Drosophila melanogaster: one gene and its partners. The protein of the gene in region 1 interacts with the protein of each later gene in a pairwise test. Each region holds a gene or a part of one and is shown in the gene's direction. Other genes may lie near its edges.

The links.
Region 2: the proteins of CG11286 (region 1) and CenG1A interact in a two-hybrid assay, tested with the Drosophila melanogaster proteins (one large-scale study listed by BioGRID).
Region 3: the proteins of CG11286 (region 1) and CG9578 interact in a two-hybrid assay, tested with the Drosophila melanogaster proteins (one large-scale study listed by BioGRID).
Region 4: the proteins of CG11286 (region 1) and Ntan1 interact in a two-hybrid assay, tested with the Drosophila melanogaster proteins (one large-scale study listed by BioGRID).

The regions. Positions count from the first base shown.
Region 1 is NT_033777.3:7,770,113-7,774,004, reverse strand, and holds CG11286 (uncharacterized protein), read left to right. Parts: upstream 1-2,248; 5' UTR 2,249-2,304; coding exon 2,305-2,612; coding exon of another isoform or gene 2,613-2,613; exon of another isoform or gene 2,614-2,671; coding exon 2,672-2,794; intron 2,795-2,853; coding exon 2,854-2,998; 3' UTR 2,999-3,145; downstream 3,146-3,892.
Region 2 is NT_033779.5:13,833,698-13,838,866, forward strand, and holds the start of CenG1A (centaurin gamma 1A), read left to right. Parts: upstream 1-1,866; 5' UTR 1,867-2,359; coding exon 2,360-2,735; intron 2,736-5,169. Other genes in the region: Polr2C (RNA polymerase II subunit C), read left to right, coding at 1-554; mRpS23 (mitochondrial ribosomal protein S23), read right to left, coding at 600-963, 1,025-1,186, 1,242-1,285.
Region 3 is NC_004354.4:20,168,246-20,172,097, forward strand, and holds CG9578 (uncharacterized protein), read left to right. Parts: upstream 1-1,976; 5' UTR 1,977-2,103; coding exon 2,104-2,118; intron 2,119-2,178; coding exon 2,179-2,513; intron 2,514-2,600; coding exon 2,601-2,820; intron 2,821-2,884; coding exon 2,885-3,133; 3' UTR 3,134-3,281; downstream 3,282-3,852. Other genes in the region: CG9581 (uncharacterized protein), read right to left, coding at 1-1,171, 1,229-1,600; AnxB10 (annexin B10), read right to left, coding at 3,347-3,403, 3,684-3,686, 3,796-3,852.
Region 4 is NT_033778.4:18,654,837-18,659,864, reverse strand, and holds the start of Ntan1 (N-terminal amidohydrolase 1), read left to right. Parts: upstream 1-1,642; 5' UTR 1,643-1,789; intron 1,790-5,028. Other genes in the region: Gint3 (GDI interacting protein 3), read left to right, coding at 1-945, 1,009-1,157, 1,217-1,328.

The DNA.
Region 1 (3,892 bases):
TTGCAGTGAAACATATGCTCGAAACCCTATTAGGTCTTCATCAAATTAAAATATGTCGTCCTCGAGGAGAATAATGCTCGGAGCCATGGCTGAAATTAATTGCCTGCAAAACTATACAGAAGTCATCCTGGGACTTCCTCCACTGGAGAAGAAGGTGCACAATTTCGCAGTCATCAAATAAATTAAAACTTGACCATGGACCCACTAACAATGAAGGAAGCAGCAAAGTCTCTAAAGTCTCAGTTGAGTTGCTCAAACATCTGTGCAAAAATGTGTGTGGGCTTGACAGAGATTATGTCTGGATTGCTGAATTTTGGGGACACTGGAGCGAGGGCTTGAAATGAAAATGAATTTGTGACAATATGAAATACTTGTGCATAAGTGAAATTGTTTCATTCTGCCGGGGCGAAGTCCGCCGGCAACCCAGTAAAATAATTGCCCAATAAACAAATGTTTTTGAAAATATGGTCCGAGTGCTCAGCAAACTTATTTCCGTAATGGACTCGGCATCAGGCCCAAAATCAATTTTCATGTCTGGTTCAATGTCATTTCGAAGTGGCGTACAATTACACCCGTAATCCCCTAGCATATGGCAGTAAATCTTGTTGTTTACACTCTCGTTGACCATCGACCATTGTCAATGTTTATTGTTTATTGTTTAACGCTTTTTCTGAATGACGTTTATATTTATATTTATATTAATATTATCAATGGCGGTGAACACATTCTATTAAATGAAATCCGCTATCTTTAAATGCAGTTTGTGGGAATTAGTAGCAGATTGTGTTAGTTTGTGTGCCCAGATTTGACCAACCACTCTGTTATTTGGCCATTTCCCCATTGGCAGATTGAGTTTGCATTTAATACCTTATACGTGATCCATCTGGTAATTAATGTCCCTCGTAGGCCGGTCGGTGAAATAAATTGGATTTGTTGTTAACATTTTAGTCACTGTTTTGTCATTACGCGCTGTGGGAAAGCTGCTGTCAATTTTGTGGCGACCAAAATGACGGTTGGCCAAAAGGCCAAGGGAAAACATCCACAAATTGATGAGATGAGCACTTTAAAGGGAAGTCGACCTGTCTCGGCATTAATAATCCCAGTGCGTGATCAAACTTCAGTCAGCCAATTGCTGGCTACTTATGCCCATAAATAGTTCATTGCATTTCCATTAGGCACTTTGCGGCAATCCGGACGACTGTTCGTTGACCTAATGCGAGCAATTCATTATCTGCAATTAGAGTTCAATTCACAGGCTCTGCCTGGCCAAAGTTCAAGGATCGGCTAGGCCGGCCTCTTGAGGCCATAACACATCATTAATGGTCTCTGCGGCCGGTTGCCAAAGAAAAGTGTAACAATAATGGGCTCGTTTGTTTTCATTGCACACGTGCCGGAGCCCCGACTTTGGTCAAATGTGCTCTTAATAGACCCAGCGTTTTGGGCCATGTTTTTGCTGTGCAAACATTGGCCAACTCTCCTGTCGGCGGCAGCTCCTATTCCCCCTTCAGTGGGCCACTCTTGTGGTCCGGCTGATGGCTCTGTTCCGTCAACTCGGGCGGTTCAAAAAATGAAATTAAATGCGCGAATGCATGTTTAATGGCGCGAAAATGTGTGGAATCTTTTTGAGAATAATTTTCGACCACACCTGGATAATGGGTGCAAATGTGGGTAGATTAGCAGTCGCACTACTCCTCATAGATTATTAGGAGGGACCATTATTAAGGGTACAAATAAGTCAATGAAAGTTCGAACAGGGCCCTGTTAGTTTTTCATTTTTTTAGGGACATCATAATTACAAAGGCTATCCAATCGCATTGAGAACTTTCGAGTTCGCAACTCTATTTCGGGCTCACTTGCAAAGTTTTTTTTACAATGGATATCCTTTAGCATAATTGCATGCATATTGCCTGCAATAATTGCATGTGATATTATTACAGAGATTCCTTTTTTGGTTTTTATTCCACGCCACTTTGAACCAGCCTGATTGTTGAATTAAAAAATTAATGAATGATTTTTGAAATGCCAATGTGAATGGCCGTGTAAATAAAATACAGCAGCCTGACCCCTTTCCATATATCGTCTGATGAATCCTCATGATGTTCTCGGCTGTTTCCATGTATATTTATAAACACCAGCGGCTTAAAACAATAATTCCCCAAGGACTCAGATGTTGTTGACGGTGACAACTATGTGGCGTATTTATTAAAGCGTTAATTGTCGAATCAAAGTAGTCACCGCATAAATAAGCCATTTAATATATCTCAAAAATCTCCAGTTTCCCAAGAGCAGTATCAAATTTTCAACATGTCCGCGACGAGCCTTGTAACCATTAAGTCGATCCCCTCAGCGGGAGATGTCCTGCGGGGTAAAAATGTACCAGTTCACCGCCTCAACGCGAAGTTTGTGGCCAAGGCCCAGGAGAAGGCTAAGAAAGTGGAGGAATTCCTGACTAGGACGAAGACCACTTCGTTGGTTTCCTTGTCAGGACTTGCTTCCCGATATGAGTTCCATCGTCTCCAGGAGCTCGACGAGTGGTATGAGCCAAGGATCAAGTTCCACGACGAGGCCGATGCCAGTTTGCATCCCAGCTACGATATAAAGCACTTTCAGTAGTCAGTTAAGAAAGAACTTGCTGAGTTACTTAGGTTTCCTGACACACCATTATTTCCAGCGATCTTAATTGCTATGTGCGGTATCTGGACTCCAAAGCGAAATATGATAGGCAGTTCCTTCACGAAATGGAGCACATTATTGCCAATCAACGCAATATCTGCGACCAGTTTTTCCTGAAGAAGTAAGCTAAAAGTTAGAAATGATAACATAAATTAACCGGGACTTTCGTGGCTTTTCTAGAATCCTGTGCTATAAAACAATGTGGCCCCCACTGCATACAAAGAGGGAACTGAATAACTTTGTCTCAAAATTCTTTCAACTGCCTCCTAAGGAAAAACGTCGCGTCGAGTATCTGTTGAAAACGGATTTAAGTCTGGGTTGCTAAAACTGATCCAATTGCAAAGTAAATGAGCCTTTTTATTCCACTTGGAAATGGTTTAATTAGCTCATTTAATTTTGCAATTATTCTCTGCAAAACTGATAAAATTACCTTATGGAAAATTGTACAGCCAATAAATTTAATTATGCAATTAAAGCCTTTTTTATAATTTCGCTGCAAAGTTAGTGAGCTAACAAATTGGATGGCTGGCGTAAGAACTGTAAGAAAATGTATTTTATGATTACTTGTTAAATTTTAATAGGATCTCGTTTACAAAAAGGTTAGTCAATCGGACAGCAACTAAATAGTTTTGAATAAAATCCGCATTTGTTTAATTATTCCACTAAATTACATTTAAACAAACTGCCGTTTGTGCATATTAAATATTTGAGCTGCGCTCATAAATAAATTCAAACAATGAATTATTATATTGTTAAACTGTGTAACTATGTGAGCAGATTCATGTTTAAAAGCAATGCAATTGTTTCGACCTCTTTTTACAAGTTACCGATAAGGGATAAATGTGTGCGTGTGTGATTGTATGCGTTTGTGATTGTGTGCGTTGACAGGAAGTGCGTCATTTGTCAAATGCTATTTTATGACCATTTTTTAGCCGTTCAGTCGAGTTTTGTTTGCACCGTGTATACACCTGAAAAAGAGCAAATTTACAAATGTTTACGCAGTGAACAATGACCAGAAACGCCATGTGAATTTGCTCTTTAATTCAGTTATGCCCTTGGCTGAGTTTCTTCTTTAAAATTAATCAAATAGAGTTTCGATTTATTGTTTGGTTTTCGCATAGGCCACAAAAAATAAACAACCATGAATAACTGGTCAGCCGAGGGTAATTTGCAAAGGTTTCACAATTTGAAATCGGAGCTGTGAATGCATTCAGGCCTG
Region 2 (5,169 bases), on another chromosome or scaffold:
ACTTCTGCCCCGAATGCAGCGTGGAGTTCACCCTGGACGTAAAGTGCAGCGAGGAACAGACGCGCCACGTGACCACCGCCGATCTCAAGTCGAGCAATGCCAAGGTCCTGCCGGTGACGTCCCGCAACCAGGGTGAGGAGGACAACGAGTACGGCGAGAGCAACGATGAGATCCTCATAATTAAGCTGCGCAAGGGGCAGGAGCTGAAGCTGCGCGCCTACGCCAAGAAGGGATTTGGCAAGGAGCACGCCAAGTGGAATCCTACCGCAGGCGTGTGCTTCGAGTATGATCCGGACAACTCCATGCGACACACTCTGTATCCCAAACCTGATGAGTGGCCAAAGAGCGAGCACACCGAACTGGAGGACGACCAGTACGAGGCGCCCTACAACTGGGAAGCCAAGCCAAACAAGTTCTTCTTCAACGTCGAATCCGCCGGTGCCCTTAAGCCTGAGAACATTGTGGTCATGGGTGTGCAGGTGCTGAAGAACAAGCTGTCAAACCTGCAGACGCAACTCAGCCACGAGTCCCAAAACGATGCATTGGCCGTTTGATTTACATATAACAAGTTTATTTTAAGTTTATAAAAGATGTTCCGCCTAATCCTTGAACAAGCTGTCTATGTTAATGCCCACGTTCGCTTCCTTTTTTCCCTTGGGAGCAGGTGGTGCTGGTGACGACGTGATTTGCTGGCTCACCACAGCCTCCTTGAAGTCGCTCAGCAGCTGGGACTTGGATTCCGAATCCTGCTCTGGCAGGCATTCCTCTGGGGTAGTCTCCAGGCGGGCCTGCTGGCGCTGCTCCGCCAAAAGATCCAGTGCGGTCTCGTAGATCCTTTGCTCATCCAGGGCTCCTTGTCCTTTCAGGTCCTGGTATATTTGGACAAATTGCTGTGACTGCGTGCTGCGCCTGTGGTCAAACAGGGATATCGTTTCCTGGGGTTTGTTTTCTTTATGCAGCTTTCTGTTGGTGTACAAGATTAGTTCAGTATTGGTATAAGCCCGACTGCAGGTGAAAAACATACGCTCGGACAACATCCTCGGCATAAAATATCTGGCGCACTGGAATCTCAGGCGCGGGTCTGTCGAATCGGGGCTCCAGTTTCGGCGGAAAGGCGGCGTACACATCGTACCAAATGGGTTTATCCTCGGTTTTCATAGCTCCACCGCGTAGGAGGCCCTGAACTCTGCAAGAGTCGGGTGTTTAAAGCTTGCACAGATATTTCGTAGGAGGGTAAATACCTGGTGAAGATTGTGCCAATCTTTTCAAGCCTACTTTGTGCCATTTTGGTAAAGTTTTAATTAATTAAATGTGTTTTTTAACAAATTACGATTACGACATGCAGTGCATGAACTTATCGGTAAGCAGCCGGTGCCTATCGATACCATCAGAGTTGCCGCTGTGAGCTTAACGGACTTATGGCTTATAAGAGCCTAGAGCGCTCCAATTGGCATTTAGACGGCAAGTGAAATATTTATTTTTTTAAATTGGTTGAATTGTAGTTACAAAGATATTGACTTAAAATCTATTCATATATATGGCACTTAATTGAAATAAATTAACTACATTATGTTACTATCGATACCAGTCCAAACAAATATAGTATTTATGTCTATTACGGTGATTTTTCTGGTTGGCGTTTTTGGTATTTCTCGTGCACTTCATAGTACAGTGCTTACTCCATAAGTGTAATATTCCGAATTAATCCCGTGATTACATGTGTGTCTGGTGTAATGAAATCACTGTACACTATCTAACCATTACTTGTAAATTAATAGTACAAAATCTTGTTAGTTAAAAATTAATCACCCACTTGAGTTGGTGGAAGTTCGCTCTGTAGAGTGACCACTGTACCTGCTCTTCATCCACAGTTTGTTGTGGAACGCCTCGCACCAACTACATACTTTTACATACTCGGCTGCGCTCGACGTAAATTCTCGCACTTTTCTGTTGGTTTCGTAGTAAATTTTCGCCTTTTCGCTGTCAAATAAAGCGCACGCATCGGGAAAAACGGAGAAAAGTGCAAAATAACTAAATATAAAGTGTATCAAATATAACTGTTAGAAAAATGCCATTTGATTGTGTACTGTAATAGCGTAAACAAAAGTGTTTTGATTGTTTGTGCAGGTGCAAAATCGATCTAGTGAACTGAAAACTGCGACTCCAAAATCGGTCGAGTTAGCGCATTTATTGCCCCGATTGTTGTTATTGGAAAATGTTGTTCGTTTGGGAAAACTGTGCCATCGCAATTTTGTAGTGTTCGTGCCTGTGTGTGTGCCGTGTGTGCGTGACGAGTGTATGTGCCAGTAAATTAAGTTAATTAAAAACTTAGCTAACTCTCGATTCCACCGCCCCCGCCATGAGTAACTACCATCCGCATTCGCATCCGCACGCGCTCTCGCATCCGCATCCGCAGCAGGTCCATAATCAGCTGCAGAATCCCCACCAGAACCAGTTGCCGCCCCCGCAACGCCATAACCATGCCGCGCCCACTGCAGCAGCCTCCGCCTCCGGAGCGCCATCATCATCAGCATCGGCATCGGCATCAGCATCTATCCTGGTGGCCCATCCTCCCCAGCCGCTCATCAGCAACTCGCTGGCCATCCGGCAGGAGATCCAGCGATTCGAGAGCGTCCACCCATCCATCTATGCCATATACGAACTGATCGATCTGCTGCCCATGGCCGATGCCCAGATAGCCCAGTCCATTCGGGACCATGTGGTCTGCATTGAAGGTAAGTCCCCCTCTATTAGTGCACCTAGTTTAATGATTATAATTAGTTACACTAGAGTTTAGCCATTGAATGGTAAAGCGGTTTCTGTAATTAGTTTTGCAATCAAAGTTTATGTTTGTCCACCTGTTTATACTGTAAATATTGCAGGCTTAACTTCCTATTAAATGGCAATAAGGAGATCAAGTGGCCTAATTGTCCAATTAGATATTGCTGAAAAGTTTATGATGTTTAGCTTAGGTTTCGAGTTATAGATTCTCATTTCCACCTGTTAATACTAAGTCTATCCAATTTGGGTCGTTACACTCTTTGTAATAAATAAATAAATGTGATTAGTATAGCATATAATGTTTATAAGATGTACGACCAAACCCGACTTAACCTGAAAGTATTTTAATGAATATATTTCAACGCTTAAGTGCTTGAAAGCAGCTGCACAAATGTTTTGCTAGAAAATAGGCTTTTAAACGTAAAATGTGTAAGTGCTAGATTCCAAATATAACAGTACTCTTATTATATATTTCGTTTGTTTTTTAATGGCTTGCAAATTTATGCACCATAACAAGGAAATGCTCTGCTTGTGAATTCGAAACTTTTGCTCAAGGGTCACTGGTTTTAATGGAGCATTCGGAGGTGTGCCCCAGAAATGATGAGCAACTAAATGTGCTATAAATTATGCAAAGACACAGTAAAGAAAAGGGTTTCAAAGTCGGAAAGTGGAGTCTATCGTGACTTTCGATGGACTGACTGGTCGTCCCATTGAGTGTGTCAAGTCGGCGGGAAGAGATGCGAATCCTTTGATTAAACATGTTTATCGCTGCAATTGTATCCACACCTTCATTGTGCCCCTTATCGCGAGCGTCTGGACTTGTGGTTGCCTTTGTTTGGAGTGCTTTATGCTAATCTTAGACCGAAAATCTATGAGGCAACATCAACCCCCGGTTGATGGCGAGGATTATTGTTGCCAAAATGCCCATTCAAGCGGATCGCAGCGGGCCCATTGAAAGTGTTGTCGCTCTGTTCATGGAAAAGAAAGAGCTTCGTTTTTTGTTTAAAACAAGCTTTTCTGCCCAATTTTCAGCATGTGTGTGTGTGTGTGTGTGTGTTTGTATGCGGGGACTGAAATTTGATGCCCTCTTCCTCTTTGTGGCAGGCAGCAAAACTGAATACTGAAAACTGAAAACCGTTCACGAAATCAAACCGAAAACCGGTTCCTGAAATGGTTTATTAGAAAATCTCTGGCAGAGGCAGCAACAACGAAAGGCTCACCAAAAATGTAAACAAAATTGTCAGAGGCAGCGGCAGCGGCAGCAACCTCATGAATACTCGAATACTCCACTCTGTGTCGTGCAAACCAGATATGTACGAAACCCGAGAATACGAGAGCGTACGATCTCGTAAACCGTTTCGCACGCGACTTTCTTATTGGCATTGACCCGCAACACGGGCACATTGGTCCAATATGTACAAATATATACATATATAACTATATCGAATACCGATTCTAATTCGCTGTCAGCGTGATGAACGATGCTTTCGTTGGACTCTGGTTGCCGTTTTCCCGTTCCAAATGCTTATTTATAGGTTTCGGTAACGGTCTCCAATAAATCGAGAAGGTCAAAAGTATCTAACGAAAATAAATAAAAGAAATTCTGTGCTATCTGTTCGTTAACCTTTTCATTTGAAATCGATTTAGAAGCTATATAGCATAAATAATCATACAGCAGCTTACTATACATAGCTTACTACTTAACAAATAAAAACGTTTATGGACAATAATCTAAAGAATCGATATAATCTCAGAACTTAATGCCCGTTTTTTTTTTTTTTTTGGTTAAGAGCTCTTGCGTTTAAAGTGCCCCCTTAATATTGTAAGCTGCTGACTCACCGAAATCAGTTCGAGTCTTAAACCACATTTAACTGCTAAGATGTCATTGAACTTTTAGCGAATCAAAGTTTAGTTACATATTTAAAAGGCACTCAAGAAAAATAATGTGTTGCTGATTATTTACGAATGAGATTTTTATTTATGTATCTTATAGAATTTGATGCTTCCTCAGCGAGATTTGTAATCCAATTAGGCCAAGGCCTTGATATTTTAGACAAAATTCAGCAACAATGGCTGCTTAAATATTTCTGTAAACTGCGTACTATTGTGTGTGTGTGGCTACATGTGCCGTCTAAAATTAGCATATGAAGCTATAAATGGGGATCCATAAACAATAGAAAGGCTGTGCATTGAGCTTCTAGTAAATTAAATCGATTACACGATATCAGCATATCAATGGCAATTTTTACTACAAATTGATAATTCCATTAAGGGGGGTGTTCGTTTGGCTGAACATAAATAACCTACCTGGAATTCTTGTTCGATTGTTCGCGGTGTTTATGCAAACACAAAGGCGTGTTGTCTGTTTGGTTTGTTTGTAAATAGCCA
Region 3 (3,852 bases), on another chromosome or scaffold:
GAACTTCCACGTGGCCGTTCTCGTTGATGAGCAGATCGTCTTCGATGCGGATGCCGATGCCCCGGAACTCGGGCGGCACGTCGCCGCAATCCTGGCCAATGTAGATGCCCGGCTCAACGGTGAAGACCATGCCGGGCACGATGCGTGTGTTGCGTGGCACGTGCGGTGTGTCGTGCACGTCCATCCCAAGGTAGTGGGAGACGTGGTGCGGACAGAAGCGGTAGCCCTGGCTGACCAGTTCCTTGTACTCGCTGAACGACTTGCCCACCAGCCCGATCTCCTGCAAGTACTTGCCCAGCTTGTAGCAGGTGGTCTCGAACAGCTGGTCGAGCGTCTCGCCGCCCGGCTTCATCACGTTGCCAATAATCTCCTCCTGCAGCTGGTGCAGCATGTCGTACAGTGTGCGCTGCGGCTCCGTGAAAACCCCACTCGCCGGCCAGGTGCGTGTGATGTCGCTGGTGTAGCCGCCATACTCGCAGCCGGCGTCCATCAGCACGAGATCCTGCTGACCCAACAACTGGCTGTTGGCCACGTAGTGGATCACCGTGGCGTTTTTACCGGCAGCCACCACCGGCGGGTAGGCCAGGTAGCTGGCGTTGCGCATGCGGCACTTGTAGTCAATCGCGGCGAACAGATGGTGCTCCGACTGACCTGGCCGGGTCTCGGCCATCACTTCGTTGAACGAGCGTGAGGCTATGTCGCAGGTGCGCCGCATTAACTGCATCTCGTCGCGGGACTTAAGCAGGCGCATGGCTTCTAGGAAAGTGTAGGCCGGCAGCAGCGGACGCTGCTGATTGCCGCTCAATCGCAGCATGTTCTCCGCCAGGGACGGCAGGTCGGTGCTCTTCTGATCGAACCAGATGTGTGGTTTTAGGGCGCCTGCGCGCTTGGCCAGCACCGCCTCCAGCTGGGACAGCGGATGGGCCTCAGTGACTCCGAAAAGCGGCACCGCGAGCTCGGGCCCAGTGCGCGGACCATCCCACAGCTCGGCATGCGGGTCCTTGGGACGCATAAACAGCTCGGACTGCACGTTCTGGGCCTCGTCGATGGTCAGCAGTAGCACGGCGTCCGGCTCTAGGCAGCCAGTTAGGTAGTAGAAGTCCGAGTTCTGGCGGAACACGTACGGGATCTTGCCGCTCATATACTTCTTGGAGGCGGCGCCCAGAACGAGCTGTCAGAGATTCAAGTTTATATATTTTGCTTCTCTTTGTAGCCTGCAGGTCCTCACCATGTGACAAGAACTCGAGTGCCCATTGAACTCGCCGCCGAAACTGCGTGCATAGGCGCGGATGTTTTGCATCAGCTGCGAACGGCGTTCCTTGATCTCGGTCAGCTCCACGCCCGGAACCAGCTCGTCCGGCTGGATAAGATGTGGATGCGAGACGCTGGTGGGCTGTCCCAGGTTTCCCTTTTGCTGGCGCAGAATCTGAGCCACGCCACGCACCTCGGCCGCGTTTACTGTCGATTTGCTGCTGGGACTTCCTGGGGAGATCGTGGTGGACTGGCTCATCCAGCGGTGTGGCCACAGGCTGGTGGAAATGGCGGCGCTGCGGCGGACGGTGGGAGCGATCAGGCGGTCCAGGCGCCTTAGGATATTCATCGTGCTGCCGGTTCCGGTTCTTGGGTTGCCAACTAAAATCTTCACAATATTATACACATCAGAAAACGGAACTGTTAAAAACACTAACGATCCTGGATAAAAACAAAACACATGGGTTGCCAGACGATTGCTTAACAAGAGTCCCGCCGATTGACAGATGTCGATAACTATCGTTGTAAAATTATACAACTATGTGAATGTAGTTTCGCCTTACCTATAGCAGCTTTCAAAAAACGCGATTCATTTCGAATTGTGTACAACCACGGCTTATATAAGCTTATGAATCCACTCAAGTACGCCAACTTGATTGCTTTCGCCCCATAGCATTTAAATATTGCGCTGCAATCGAAAAACCTCGATAGTACCGCCGCTAAGCTTTAGAAGTAATCGACATTGGCATCCCTAACATAATAACAAAAATTTTTAACAGGATCAATAGGGGGCTTTGGAACAGTATTTTCGACTTAGACAGACACTTTGAAATCATTTGACATATCTTTAGAATGTCCATGGAGGAGGTATGTGTTGGTATAGCCCAGTTCCAATGGCCAAACACTCAATGTAATCCCGTCCTGCAGTGCTTTGTGCCCCGGCTGCCGGTGGACAGCGAGTTCATCCAGTTCCACGACTGGGCCATCAAGTATGAGAAGTCGCACATCCTGAAGAGCAGCTGCCAACTGGGCACCGCCAAGTGCTGTCCCAAGGACTCGGCCGACCGCTGCGACCTCTGCCACTACCAGCACTCCCTGCAGCTGCCCCACCTGCCCGACATGGTGTTCCACAAGAATCGGCTGGTGTTACAGCACAAGGACGGCGCCACTCTCGAGTTCTGCCCCATGGACGCGCTGGCGCTGGTGGACAATGGGAAGCAGCCGCTGGAGGTCGCTTGTGCTCAGGAGTGGCGGGAAACGCGGTGGGTACTCCCATTGAGATTGGGATATGGATCGTTCTACTGTTGTTCCTCTATAAATCGCCCAAATGATTGAATTCTATACTCCAGTAACGAGCAGACAATGGAGGAGAAGTTCAAGCCTTTCGACTGGACATTCACCTCCACCTACCAGGGCACCATGAACGAAAAAGTGCGATCGGAGACCACGAATCAGACGCTGAACAAGTTCAAGCTGATGCAGCGCGAGAACATCATCTTCTACCACGATTTAACTCTGTTCGAGGATGAGCTGCACGACCACGGAATATCGGTGATGAGCGTGCGAATCGTAAGTGCTGATAAATACAAATTATAGAGCCCTTATCGAAGAAGCCCAACTCTTTCTGGCACAGCGCGTGATGCCCTCTGGCTTCTTCATCCTTTTGCGCCACTTTCTGCGCGTGGACCACGTGCTAATCCGGATGCACGACACCCGCTTCCACCACGAGATCGAGAACGACTTTATCCTGAAAGAGTACATCCATCGGGAGGCGCCTTGCACTGAGCTTCAAAACTGTGTGGCCTTCTGGACCAACCCGGATGAAATGCAAGAATTTGTGCCCGTGAAGTCCAAGCAGTTGCACAAGCTCTTCTTTAAGTAGTCCCGATGTCCGATGCTAGATGCCAGATCCCAGATCTCTAGGTTTATGTCAGTCGTCGCATTGGTTACAACTGCTGCTATATGCGTTTATTTATTGCCAACAGTGTGCGCATGCGCAGACGACATTAAAAGCGATTTTCCTAAAAGGCACACTACGATCAAAGCTATTAACACGAATAAAATATTGGGCGGACCAGCTGCCACATCCTCGGGCCTAGGCGGATCCAAGTAGGGCTGTCAGGGCCCGCTTGTAGTCACCAGAGGTCTCCGCCTGGAAAGTAAAGAAAGGAACGTATTGAAGCGAGATCCAAGTTCTTGCTTTTTTGGCTATGCCCTCTACACTACAATTACTACTTTGCCCGAAAATACTTTTTTGGCAAGCCAATAATGAGATATCGAAAAATGCCCAAGAACCAGTTTGCTTCGGCGTTCTTAGAAATAATTTGATGGGGATTTTGGCAGCATATGTAGCGTAAAAGGAACACTTGATAACGTGGAGTAACCAAGACCAGGAATACATCCGTTTCACCAATGGCGTGGCCAATACTTACGTCCTAGGACAACACAAACACCGCAACAAATGCCGACAAGTACGTGAAGAGAAGGGGAAAGGGGTGCGTTAACCATGTGCGAAGCACTCGCGATTCTTCGAGATCCACTTACCACCACGGCGCTGTGCAGCGTACGGTTGTAGATCCGCTCGAACTCCTGCTTAATGGT
Region 4 (5,028 bases), on another chromosome or scaffold:
TCAAGTAGTTCCCGCCAAAAGTATGAGGCCTATGTGCCACCAAAGCGAAATGAAATAAGTAACGAGGCCAGGGCAGCTGCCAGTGCGGCACTGGCGCGCATTGACAAGAAAACATCCAGGGAATTCAATACCTCGCTGTCGGCAGTGAAGGCACAGGCTAAAAGAGAGCTGGAGGCAGAGCGTCGCCAGAGAGAGGAAGCCATGGGCACGCCATCAACGACCAGCACATCCACATCGGCTTCCGGCGGCGACACTCGCAACCTGGCCTGCGAAGGCGTCTTCTTCCGCTGCCCCCTAATCAGCGAGGAGATTCTACCCAAGAGCGTGTGGAAGGTTCGCATCAAAGAGTTCCTCTACCAGCAGCTGGAGGCAGATCGCGGCCTCACCGCCTGCCTGATCATCCACAATTGCAATGTTAAGGAGAAGGCCGACGAGTGCATTGCCACGCTAATCCGATATCTGGAGAATCTTATCAAGAATCCCGAGGAGGAGAAGTTCTGCAAGATACGGATGTCCAACAAAATCTTCAGCGAAAAGGTGCGCTACGTGGAGGGTGCCCTGGATGTTCTGCAAGCAGCGGGCTTCAACGAGGTCCAGATCGATGGCGAACCCTTCCTTTTGTGGACCAAGGAGCAGACGGAGAAGGATCTCGACTTGCCCACACTAGTGGAAGCTCTCAAGAGCTCGGAGATTATTCCCCTGGAGCTGGATCGCAACATTAAGGTCCTACTTCCATCGCAGGCATGTCGTGTCGCCCTCCCCGACGAGTTTTATCGCCTGTCGCCGGAGGAGATCAAGAAAGAGCAACAGCTGCGATCCGAGGCCATTGCCCAGTCACAGATGCTGCGGACAAAGGCGATGCGGGAACGCGAGGAGCAGCGCAATTTGCGCATGTATCGATACGCTTTAGTCAGGGTTAAATTTCCCAATGGACTCTTTATACAAGTAAGCCATTCCGCGATGATGTCATCTGAAGTAATTTTATGTAATAAGCCGAATCATTTTCAGGGCACTTTCAATGTGTACGAAAAAATATCCGATGTGTTCGAGTTTGTCCAATCTTGCCTGGCGGACGAAAGCCTGGATTTTAGCTTGGTGTCCAACAGCGATGGCAAACTGGGCGATGAGGACTTGGAAAAGACACTATATGACTGCAAGTGAGTGATGCAATAATGTTTTCTTTAGGTACAACACTACATGATTTCCTTCATTTCAGACTCATTCCGAACACTCTGCTGCTGTTTAGCGCCAATGATACACCCGCTCCTTTGCAAACGGATATAAACTACTTAAAGGAAGACCTTCTAATGCTGGTGCAGGCTATGTAGAAGTGCTTTAACCCATATATTCAGCGGTATTTGTCCCTTATATTATAACAGAGCTGTTGTTATTTATTACTTTCAAATCTATTATTCAAAATCAATTATAAACGCACTTTACACAAAAGAAAATTTCTTTAAATTAATTTGGTTATTTGGCTGTTGCTACTTGTTCGCTTGAAATTTATTTATATTAAAAACTTATTTTTATATATTTGCTTAACTAAATACATACTTTCAAGCCACTGTGCGTCAAACAGCTGTTTGGTATCTTTTTGGCTGCGGTATTTCAGGTGGGCTTTTAAGCTTACCTGCAAACGGTCTTACTTATTGCAAAAATAAACAAAAATTGCAACGCTAGCAAGTGGAAATTGACGAATTATTATTTAACTATGAGCTTAAACTGTGAGCTGTGAGGAATTGTGAAAAGTGCACGAATCGCTGAACTATTTGGTGCTATGTAAATGTTAGTGAGTACGCAAGTCTAGAATCATATGTTTGTACCAAACAATAACAAAGTGCGGCCAATTGCATTTTGACCATAATTCCATTAACAAATGCCTAATTGTTGCTTAGTCACATTAGTTTCGGGGCTCAAAAAGTCATAAATAATGCCATTAATAAGCGGAGCAAATGTTACGCCTGTTTTGGAAGTTTCCCGCACTCTTTTGTGCGGTCAGCGCATCGCGTGGTTCCGCTGAAAACTTGTGGCCCACTGTAATTTCCCAATCCACGCGACTTTTCCTGGCCATTATCGAATTATTAATAGCATGTGGGTGCAATTTGTTGATGCGGACTACTAATTAAGCAGGCAGCTTGATCGTACGGCTGTCACATTTTAGAAACTGCTTGGAACTTAGCTCAATAATCAACCCTCTTTTTAACAATACGATATGAACTTATATGATCAATTTGAATTAATAGTTTAAACACATATTATCAGACTCATTAACTTACAACAAATGTAGCTTATCAATATACCCAACAAAGATACCTTAGAAAGATAAGATTATGCTATATAATAGATATATATGAATCCCCTTTGTTTCCAAAACATTTACACGAAATGAGAAAGTACATATATCGTATATCGTATATCGTGGGAGCCCAAAACTGGAGCATTGATCCTAATCCCAAGCTGGCTTCTTCGCTGCCACTAAACAAACAGTTGCATTTAATGAACCAATTTCGCAGTTGGCCTTTACTGTCTATCACGGCGGCATCGAAAACGGCCAAACTAAAAGTCTGTGGAGGAGTGAGGAGAGGAGTGGGTAGATTAAGGAGTGCTTCGCCCAGGCTCCGGGCACTGGCAATTTGGCGTAAATCTCGCTTGATCTTGGGAAAAGGTAAATAGAAAAGCAGCCAAAATCAAACATTAATGAATCTCTACGGCTCAGGGCTTAAATTAAGCCAAGCAATCGCGCCAAATCGAAACACGCAGCCACGAGAAGCCAAATAAAAAGCAGGCAGAAAGCCAGAGACTGCAAGCCATCGCATAAATTGGCCTGGGCTGGAGCCAAAGATTTCATTGTTGGCCATTGCTTATTATGGCCGGGCAGCGGATCTAGGCCTTCATTAAACGGCCAAAGGCAGCGGCTGCAGTTGCACCGGGAGAAATGTCACCAAAGTTGGTAGGCTACAGTTCTTAAATGATACTCAGTCCAATTAAGTGACCTTTTTTAATGCCTTATCTTTAAGATGTGTATTTAAATAAACCCTTTTGAAACTTTAGCACATCTTGCATACACGGCTTTTTCTCCCTGTGTACAATAGAGCCTTATTTCAACTTTGGTCCGCGAGGCTAGTGCGTGAGATATGCATTATTTATCTAGCGAAATTTTTCTCATTGCTGCAGCGGCAACTTGTTGCAGGCAGACTTCCTGGTTTCTTGGGCCCAGCTGCAGCCACTGCAGCCCAGCCAGGCCAGAAATTCCAAAATGATACGAATAGTTTGTTTCTGTCGGGAGATAGCGAGAAATATGTGGGACATCCTGAGGATCGTTGTCTTCTCTTTTTTTATTTTTTGGGGGGGAGCTGGAGATGGGGATGTGGATAGGGATTACGAGTTAGGGGTTAGCTGTTACCCATTGCCGGGTTGCAACCTGCACGTGCCTCGCCTCGCTGCGCCGCCTGATTGAACGATTGAAAGATCATCACCCGGCGCAAAATATCTGGCTGTACATAATGATGATGATGAGGTGCAAATTGCCGCTGCCATGAAATTGCAAATCAACTCTCCTGACTCCCGATTGCACTTCATTCTAAATTGTTTGCTCAACCCAGCAGCTCAGCCGTTTTGGCACTTCTTTCGCGAATCCTCCGGCGCCGGTGCAAAAATTGCAAATCGAATTTGCCAATTGCCGTGCTGCCTTCGCATCGCTCCACTCTCCGGTTGATTTGTTTTTGTGGTTTGGCCACGAACCAACCGCATTGCCCGCAAAACGGCAACAATTGCGAACCCGCCCTTTAACAAGCATTTAGCTTGCTCCGCCAAGCTCGTGACCCATTCCCATGCCCATTCCCGCTGCCTAGTGGCCAAGAACTTCTCCAATACGCCGGGCATGTTTATGACCCGGCTCGAAATTGAAGTGGAAATCGGTTAGCAAGCAGTGGGTTCGCTTTTCGATTTGTTTTTATCGCTCCACGCAAGCGCCCTGAATTTGCATATTTCTGCCTGCATTTGAACCCTGAACTCGAGGGGCCAAAGGAAATGCGATCCCAAAAAAGTGAGCAGGAAGACAGCGGCGTTAGTTCGCTCCTGGCGGAAATACTTCCCCTATGACGGGAAAAACAAATAAATAACCATAATTAAGGCTTGTGCTTTAATTAACACCACTGAACTTGGGCGACACAACTGGCATAGTAAGAAATGATATTTCTGGAAGCCGGAAGCAAGTATACTCTTTTGCATTCGATACAAATAGAATATAAATATTTGTATTCATGCTTATAATAATAAGTTAACTACTTATTATTATATAATAATAATTATAATTATATAATTATAATATAACCAATAAAAACAAGTTAAAATATAACTTTAATAATCATTAAAATACCATCTTTATCTTTAACTATTAACTAGTTCACATTATATGCTCCAATTTACCCTACCATGCAACCTATCACAATTCGCAATCAAATAAGAACTTCCGGTCCACTCAGCGAGTGTTTTATGAATGAAAATCTTGTCTCATTGTCTCAGCCAGCTCCTCATCCCCATCCCCATCTCCATCCACATCGCCATCATCATCGCTGTCCAGCAGTCGATCTCGATGTCCATCGTCCGATGGTCACGCTCATCGCCAATTAGTGCAATCAACAGTGCGGCTGAGATGGTGGGTGCGGTTTTTCTGGACCTCAGTGACTGGGTGCTTCATCGGGTTGCATTTGGTTGGACCTCAACCTAGGCAATTGCTAGGGAAATCTTACAGAGTTCACTTGATAAGATTAATTGACTCGGCCTCCCTTCGGTTTGTCAGCTAAAATGTAACACAATCCCTGGTGTAGTGGTAGAAACTTTAAGCTATTGAAATATTAATATGGGGCTTGGACCTACAAAGTACCAATCCTAACTTCGCTTAAACCAATATTCATTCAAAGAGTTACCTATCATAACTTACCATTATAAACTATCATAACATACTTATACAAATATACTAACTTCAATTTAACTGTGGATAGTTTTGGCGTCTTTCTTTCAAATTTA